2 linked regions of the Arabidopsis thaliana genome follow. The protein of the gene in region 1 interacts with the protein of each later gene in a biochemical or structural test. Each region holds a gene or a part of one and is shown in the gene's direction. Other genes may lie near its edges.

Region 1 (3,928 bases):
CGCAAATTATAAGTTGACAAGGCCACGAGGTTCAAAAAACGACATATATTGTAATGTGTCTTCGAAAAAGTCAATATTTGTATGTCCCTATGATGTCAATGTGAACCATTCGGCTAACGAAGAGAATAATAATATTATAACATTCATACACAATGTTGAAATGTCCCGTCAATATTTTATAAAAATGGACACGGTCTAATTAATTAAAATGAATTCGGTTTTGATGTGAAATATAAAAATGAAGTGGCACATAATGTTAGACTGGTCCATTAACTCTTAAAAATTTTTTAATCACAATTTCTTTATTTATTTGCTCATTTCGAATATCGATTACCTTGTCTACACTACACACGTTACATATGTAATTGTTTATGAATGATGCATAGTTAGTTGCATACTTTCAAAATTGGATACCGCCAACTTTTTTATCAACCATGTTTTTTAGTAGAAGTGTTTTTAAACCTCTTTTATTTTTAACTGTGGTCTCCTTTATTTTGGTTGTAAGCTGTAACAAGGTCTTGTCCTCTCTTTATGGTTCTCCTTACGGGCCTAGTTAAACTTGGTCAAAATAATGAAAGAAGTAAAGTGGTGTTCTTAAATAAAAGGAAACTAAAGGAAATTTTGTTACCCACCTTCTTATTAATCGATTTTCAATTCATTGTACGACAGCATAATGAATATGAATTTTTGGGGATTTAAATGAAATATCCTTCACGAATTGGCCAATTTACTTTAAAAACCCTTAGTTAAATTATTAATAGAAAAACCTTTTAAATATAAAAGTTTTAATTATAAAAAAAGTTAGATATTAGTCCATCTATTTAAAAACTCCTAACTAAATTACTAATGAGAAACTCTCGAATACAAAATTCTAGTGAAAAAACTCTTTCATATAACTTCATTTAAATATATTTTGTTTTTAAACCTCACTAACATTGATTTAAACCGTTATTTTACACCGTTTTAAGTTTCTTTCCGCTGAAAAATACTATGGTTTCCGGTTCAAAATGTGTGGGCCCTTTTACGCGCATGTGGGTCAGATGTATGGGCCCATTCTATTTTTTTCCTCCAAAGTTAAAGGCAGAGTGGCGGGGTCATTTAAACCACGTGGCAAGTTTTTTTTTTTTATCAACTACTGTTTCTTTTGCTGAAAAAGCTAAACAACATAAATAAAATTCAACAGTATGATTGCGTCACGAGCAATGCTTAATCATAAATCACTCGCTTGACGACAAAAAATAAAATCATTAATCAGTAGCTTTCCGCTACACTAATCCACTCTCCTCTTATAAATTTCAAAGGATTCATAGTTTTTATGTTAAGTATTGATAATTTTTTATTTTTTAATATGTTAAAACTAATACATAAAAAATATATAACTCTGTTAAATATAATTTGATAAAATATGTTATTACTTACTATTTATGAAAATACAGACATAAATAATAATCTATATAGACTATAACCTAAAATAGGAAGGTGTGTTGGCAAAAAACCTAAATGGAAGGTTAAAATCTCAAAAAAAAAAAACTGTAATCAGATAAAATCGAATCCAAAACATTGAATAAAAATATTAATAACTCGGTCAACCAGTATAAACAATAATCTTTTTACTAGTACTTAATTTCTTATTTTATATAAACTAAAACTTAATATCAAACAACTATTGTTTCCATTATATATACCTACCCGTAACCTTTAAATAATTTAGTACATACATAAATGTGTTATTATCCTAACCTTTTTTTTTCTCTGACTCTTAGCTTCATTTCCATTTTCATATATATAATGTTGTCAAATTCAAATTAAAATAAAATAAAAAAGTGTCACTAATGGTCGGTCCGATTTCTCCGGCTAACTTACTTAAGCTGACAAGTCTTTCTCCTCCTTCCTAACTTCGTCCCCCACACAAATCTCTCTATCTCTCTCAAGCTTTCTTTATCGTCGTCTATGGCGGCTAACAAATTCGCGACTCTGATTCATCGGAAAACAAACCGAATCACTTTAATCCTCGTATACGCTTTTCTCGAATGGTCACTCATTTTCTTCATTTTGCTCAACTCTCTCTTTTCTTATTTCATACTCAGATTCGCTGATTATTTCGGTCTTAAACGTCCTTGTCTCTTCTGCTCTAGACTCGATCGTTTCTTCGATGCTTCTGGTAAATCTCCTTCTCATCGAGATCTTCTCTGCGATGATCATGCTCTCCAATTACATTCAAAACCTGTTGAAGAATCTAATTGTGGTTTCGGAGAATTTCACAATGATTTGGTTCATCGTGGTTGTTGCGTAGAGAAGATAAGTTCGTCACTATGTGCTCCGATTGAGTCTGACTTTGGGAATTTAGATTATCCAATTGGAGATGAAGGTCAGATTTACAATGGTCTTAAGTTTCCTCGATCGATCTTCGTCTTTGAAGAAGAGAAAGTAGGATCTGTAAATTTGAATGATTCTCAGGAAGAAACAGAGGAGAAGAAAGTTCCCCAATCTCATGAGAAACTTGAAGATGATGATGTTGATGAGGAGTTTTCATGCTATGTATCAAGCTTCGATTGTAAGAACAAAGAAATTGCAACAGAGAAGGAAGAAGAAAACAGAGTGGATCTACCTATAGAGGTGGAAACTGCAGAATCAGCTCCGAAAAACCTCGAGTTCTATATTGATGAAGAAGACTGTCATTTGATTCCAGTTGAATTCTATAAACCGAGTGAAGAAGTTCGAGAGATTTCCGACATTAACGGAGATTTTATCCTCGATTTCGGCGTTGAGCATGATTTCACGGCGGCGGCGGAGACGGAGGAAATCTCCGACTTTGCTTCGCCGGGTGAATCGAAACCGGAGGATGCAGAGACGAATCTAGGTACATCTTCGTGTAGCTTTTACTTGTGCTTTTTTTTTTTTTTGCCTTGTATCTAAGTTTGGTGAGTTGTTTATAGTTGCTTCGGAAATGGAAAACGACGACGAAGAAACAGACGCAGAGGTTTCTATAGGTACAGAGATTCCTGATCATGAGCAAATCGGAGATATTCCTTCTCACCAGCTCATTCCTCACCACGATGACGATGATCATGGTAATTTTCTTATAACATAAGTATGCGTTAGTCCTTCTCTGTTCTTGATTCTCTAGTTAACATTTTCAACGAATGCGTTACTTCTTCCAAACAGAGGAGGAAACGTTGGAGTTCAAAACAGTAACGATTGAAACCAAGATGCCAGTCTTAAACATCAACGAAGAGCGGATTTTAGAAGCTCAAGGCTCGATGGAAAGCTCGCATAGTAGTCTACATAACGCTATGTTTCACTTAGAGCAAAGAGTATCTGTTGATGGTATTGAATGTCCTGAAGGAGTACTCACTGTTGATAAGTTGAAGTTTGAGTTACAAGAAGAGAGAAAAGCACTTCACGCGTTATACGAGGAGCTGGAGGTAGAGAGGAATGCGTCTGCTGTTGCTGCCAGTGAAACAATGGCGATGATCAATAGGTTGCATGAGGAGAAAGCTGCGATGCAGATGGAAGCGTTGCAGTATCAGAGAATGATGGAGGAGCAAGCTGAGTTTGATCAAGAAGCTTTGCAGTTGTTGAATGAGCTTATGGTGAATAGAGAGAAGGAGAATGCTGAGCTTGAGAAGGAGCTAGAGGTGTATAGAAAGAGAATGGAGGAGTATGAAGCTAAAGAGAAAATGGGGATGTTGAGGAGGAGATTGAGAGATTCCTCTGTTGATTCGTATAGAAATAATGGCGATTCTGATGAGAATAGCAATGGAGAGTTACAGTTTAAGAACGTTGAAGGGGTTACGGATTGGAAATATAGAGAGAATGAGATGGAGAATACGCCGGTGGATGTTGTACTTCGTCTTGATGAGTGTTTAGATGATTATGATGGAGAGAGGCTTTCGATTCTTGGGAGATTGAAGTTTCTTGAAGAGAA
Region 2 (3,928 bases), on another chromosome or scaffold:
TTTTATTTCCACTAATCTTAGCTACTATCTATTTTGTTTTATTTCCACTAGTCTTAGCTACTCTCTATTTATCCCCCAAACAGTACAATGCACTTAAAGTTTGTGTGTTGTTCAGATAAGTTATTTGTAGCATGTCCAGATTTGATTCCTCAACCCAATTTGTATAACTCAGAATGTGGTCTTTGATAAGATACGTTTAAAAGGCAAGATCAAGCTGTCACAAGGTCATGATCAAGCTGCAGAACACAATACAAATGGAAATTGAATTGCTTACACCTAAGCATCACAGAGAGTGTTATCAATTCTTCCAACTATATATAACCTAGAGTTCAGCTTCTTTGTTCCCGGAAACACCAAGAAGCTTGGCGAGTTCACCGCTCTCATACGCATCTACGGTATCTATAACCAGAAACAAAGATAAATCTATCGATCAGCAAATGTTGGCATAAGCAAAGACGTTTTGTTGAAGGAAAAGGAGTGTTAAGTATACCATCTGATCCTCCGAGATGTTTTCCGTTAATGAAGACTTGCGGTACTGTTCGCCTTCCAACAATCTCTCCAAGTGCAGTCTGGATGCTCCAACCATCTTCTGCAAGACCAAATTTTTACCAACCATTAGTCACAAATGAATCTTCTACATAGTGATCGGACAAAGTTTCAAATGACAGAAATGTCTGAGAGCTAAGAAACATTGTTGGATGATGAAGACATGATTCCCTTTAACCTTAAAACACACCTCTTTCATCAAGCTCGACAACATAAGGAACTTGATCCAGCTCTCTGAACACTGATTTAGCTTTCTTGCAGTAGCTGTTGACCAAACCACAAGGAAGCAAAGGAAAAGTAGAGATGAGTCATATACATAGGTACATGATCTCTCTACACAACTCAATTAAGGCCAAAGGAAAAGCAAAGAGAACAAATACTGAGAACTGAACCTGAATATATCTTAAACGAAAATCCATATTGATTTCAACCACCATTTGTAAACAGAGATAACAAAGTTGTCTCATAAAAATCCAAATCTAACGAATACAAGTTCATTGGGTTCAAGTTTTCACTCATATTTCAGATATTAAGATCTAAAAAACAAAATCGCAAATTGAAGTCACCCAAGATCCAATTTTTCTGCGAATCGGATAAAAAGTGATTAAACATGAGCAGAGAAAGAGACATACGGGCAGTAGGATTTGGAGAAAATGACGATCTTATGGGAAGAGATAGTCTTCTTAACAAAGTCGGCTTCTGGGGACGAAGCAGCAGAAGAAACCATAGAAATGAATGTAACTAGTGCGACGAGCAGCATTACCATGGAGATAGATCTAAACATTGTCATGGCTCCTTTCTTCTTCTTCTTCTTCTTCAGATGCCAATTGAAGACGATGACTTGCAGGATCGATACTGTGGAAAGTAGGTGTAGGTGTGTTGTGGCGGGTACGGTTTAACCCGGCCCATCTAAATAAGGGTCGTATTAAAGCCCAAAATCAAGGTTATTGTTTCAGCCCAACCACTATTACATAAATTGGGTGAACTTAACAAAAACAATTATTTTTTACTGGGCTTCAAAAACATAGAACATTTTTGGAGTATAAAGGATGATAATGATAATGACATGACCAAAGCTGGTATTAGACGTCTTAACACTATCTTGCGGGTTCAATTTGATTTCCGCTAAACTAAGAAAATCATACATCATCCCAAAACCTAAAATTAATATTTGTGTCACATCAATTTTGAATATATGAGTCAAATCATTTGTAAACATTCTTCACAAGTTATATCCTATATTTTTTATAAAAGAGAATTTCAAAAACAGAAACGCTCGTAAGAATTTTAAAATATTTCCACATCTAACCAATCCACTAACGAAGACAAATTAGCCATAATTTACTAGTCTTAATTAAAACAAAAAAGGGGATAAAAGTGTAAAAATGAGCAATTCAAAGGGCAGAGACAAAAACAAAAGATGTAGTAATGTTTTTTTTATTTACGAAACAATCTTTGTTGTTGTCTGTGTGTAGACTCAAAGAGTGTTGTGGGTGGCTGACCACGAATGTGAATGTCCAACTCGATCCACCTCCCTTCTCCTCATTGGACCCCACTTGACCAATCTCAATTCTCAAGCACCAACATTTTTTTTGTTTGAAAACAATACACAAATAATAATTAAGAAAAAAAAGTGTTAGAGAGAGAAAGACACACAGCTCAAAAGAGAACATTGTTGTTGCTCGAGGAGAGAGAAAAACAAAAAAAAAAGCCATTAGAGAACGTCGTCTGCAAAGAAAGAAGAAGGCCAAGTCTAGCTTTCTTTCATTCTGCTTCTTCAACAATCAATCAGCTTTCTTGAGAGAGATTAAAAAATTCATTCAGATTCAGCTTTTTGAAAAGAATTTTGGCTCCGTTAATTCCGATCTCCCGATTTCTCCGTGTCTGCTTTGAGCTGACTTCAAGGAGAATTTTTCTCAGACACACCAACTCGAGAGAATCTGCCCGATCTGACTCGTCTTGTTGCCTGACTCGCTGAGTCAGCTTTCTGCAAAATCGGTCTCTCTTGGATGAGTTAACTGGGAAAAAGAGAGAGGATCTATTGGAAAAAAAGGAGTAGCCATGGTAAAATCATAGATATCATCATCCTCGTCGTTTTATTCAATTGCTTATTGTATTTTCTCAAATGGGTTTATGTTGGATTTAAATCAATTAAACGGATTCATTTTTAACACTTGTCCGATTTGGTGTTCGTTAGTAGAGATATCTTTGTATGAGGTTTGCGTTTTGTTTTCGATCCCTAGTTCGTCTTCCCATTAACACGAGAGATTCTCAATCCAACTATAGTAGAAAAGTTGAATTTTGTTATTTTGGGGAACATTATACAGTGTTATTGAAAGGTAAGGGTCAAGAGTTCTATAACAAGTTGAAGTTGGACCATTTCAGTTATCTTAAATTTCATTTCGTGGACTTATCATTTCCTATTAACATTTCACTTAGCGGCTCTCACCATTTTGGATTACTTCTATTATTAGTAACGAGGTTATGTAAGCTTCTATGTTAGATTACTGTCCCTTTATATATATGTTTCATCAGGAAACTTCTTCAGGTGAGACCATTTTTTTTTTATATACCTAAGTTTTATTTGATATAAAGGCTGAAGATTTAGTTTCCAGAATGAAGGAAACTGAGGGAAATGCGCAGTGTTATGCTATCTTTGTTGTGTTTCTAAGTGAGTGTTGTCTCTAGATTATAGGCAGTGTTATTGTCCTGGTTTTGCGGGAAATTTTAATCTATAACATTAGTTACTTTCGGTTTAGGTTCGTATGTCTGGTGCCATCTATTTCAACTGCTTGAACTGATGATATTTGGTATTTGAAAGAGGAACTTATGTAACAGCTTGTGTGAGGTTATTAAAATCTTTGTACCTCACGTCTTCAATATTTGTATCTTTTGTAGGTTGGCCCAGTCAATATAATAGTTGGTTCTCATGTTTGGATTGAAGATCCTGGAGCGGCATGGATTGATGGTGAAGTTGTCAAAATTAATGGCGAAGAAGTTCATGCACATACCACAAATGGGAAGACCGTAAGTTGTCTATCCTCCTCCCATGCTTTTGCATGTAAATTTCCTTTTGAGAAATAATGTCACTGGAATGAATAGGGTGTTTCTGCTTAGGGTGTCTGTTTAACTTTGAACAAAATGTCACTAGTCCTCTAACCCCTTTCCCTGTGGATACCGTGTTACTCCTCTAACATATGAGTTTTGCATGACATTGACATCCCTATTTCATAATTATATTATACAATCATTGAAACCAGATTATGTATCAATCAATCAATCAAATTTAATTTCAGGTTGTGGCCAATATCGCAAACGTATTTCCAAAGGATACAGAGGCTCCCCCTGGGGGTGTTGATGACATGACAAAGCTCTCATATTT

The links.
Region 2: the proteins of AT1G70750 (region 1) and XIK form a complex in vitro, tested with the Arabidopsis thaliana proteins (one study listed by BioGRID).

Annotation. Positions count from the first base shown.
Region 1 is NC_003070.9:26,681,170-26,685,097, reverse strand, and holds the start of AT1G70750 (myosin-binding protein (Protein of unknown function, DUF593)), read left to right. Parts: upstream 1-1,742; 5' UTR 1,743-1,950; coding exon 1,951-2,860; intron 2,861-2,936; coding exon 2,937-3,071; intron 3,072-3,165; coding exon 3,166-3,928. UniProt on the Arabidopsis thaliana protein: Membrane-anchored myosin receptors that define a distinct, plant-specific transport vesicle compartment.
Region 2 is NC_003076.8:6,936,060-6,939,987, reverse strand, and holds the start of XIK (myosin family protein with Dil), read left to right. Parts: upstream 1-2,157; 5' UTR 2,158-2,607; coding exon 2,608-2,610; intron 2,611-3,423; exon of another isoform or gene 3,424-3,444; coding exon 3,445-3,573; intron 3,574-3,842; coding exon 3,843-3,928. Other genes in the region: AT5G20500 (Glutaredoxin family protein), read right to left, coding at 323-399, 491-589, 737-810, 1,179-1,336. UniProt on the Arabidopsis thaliana protein: Myosin heavy chain that is required for the cell cycle-regulated transport of various organelles and proteins for their segregation.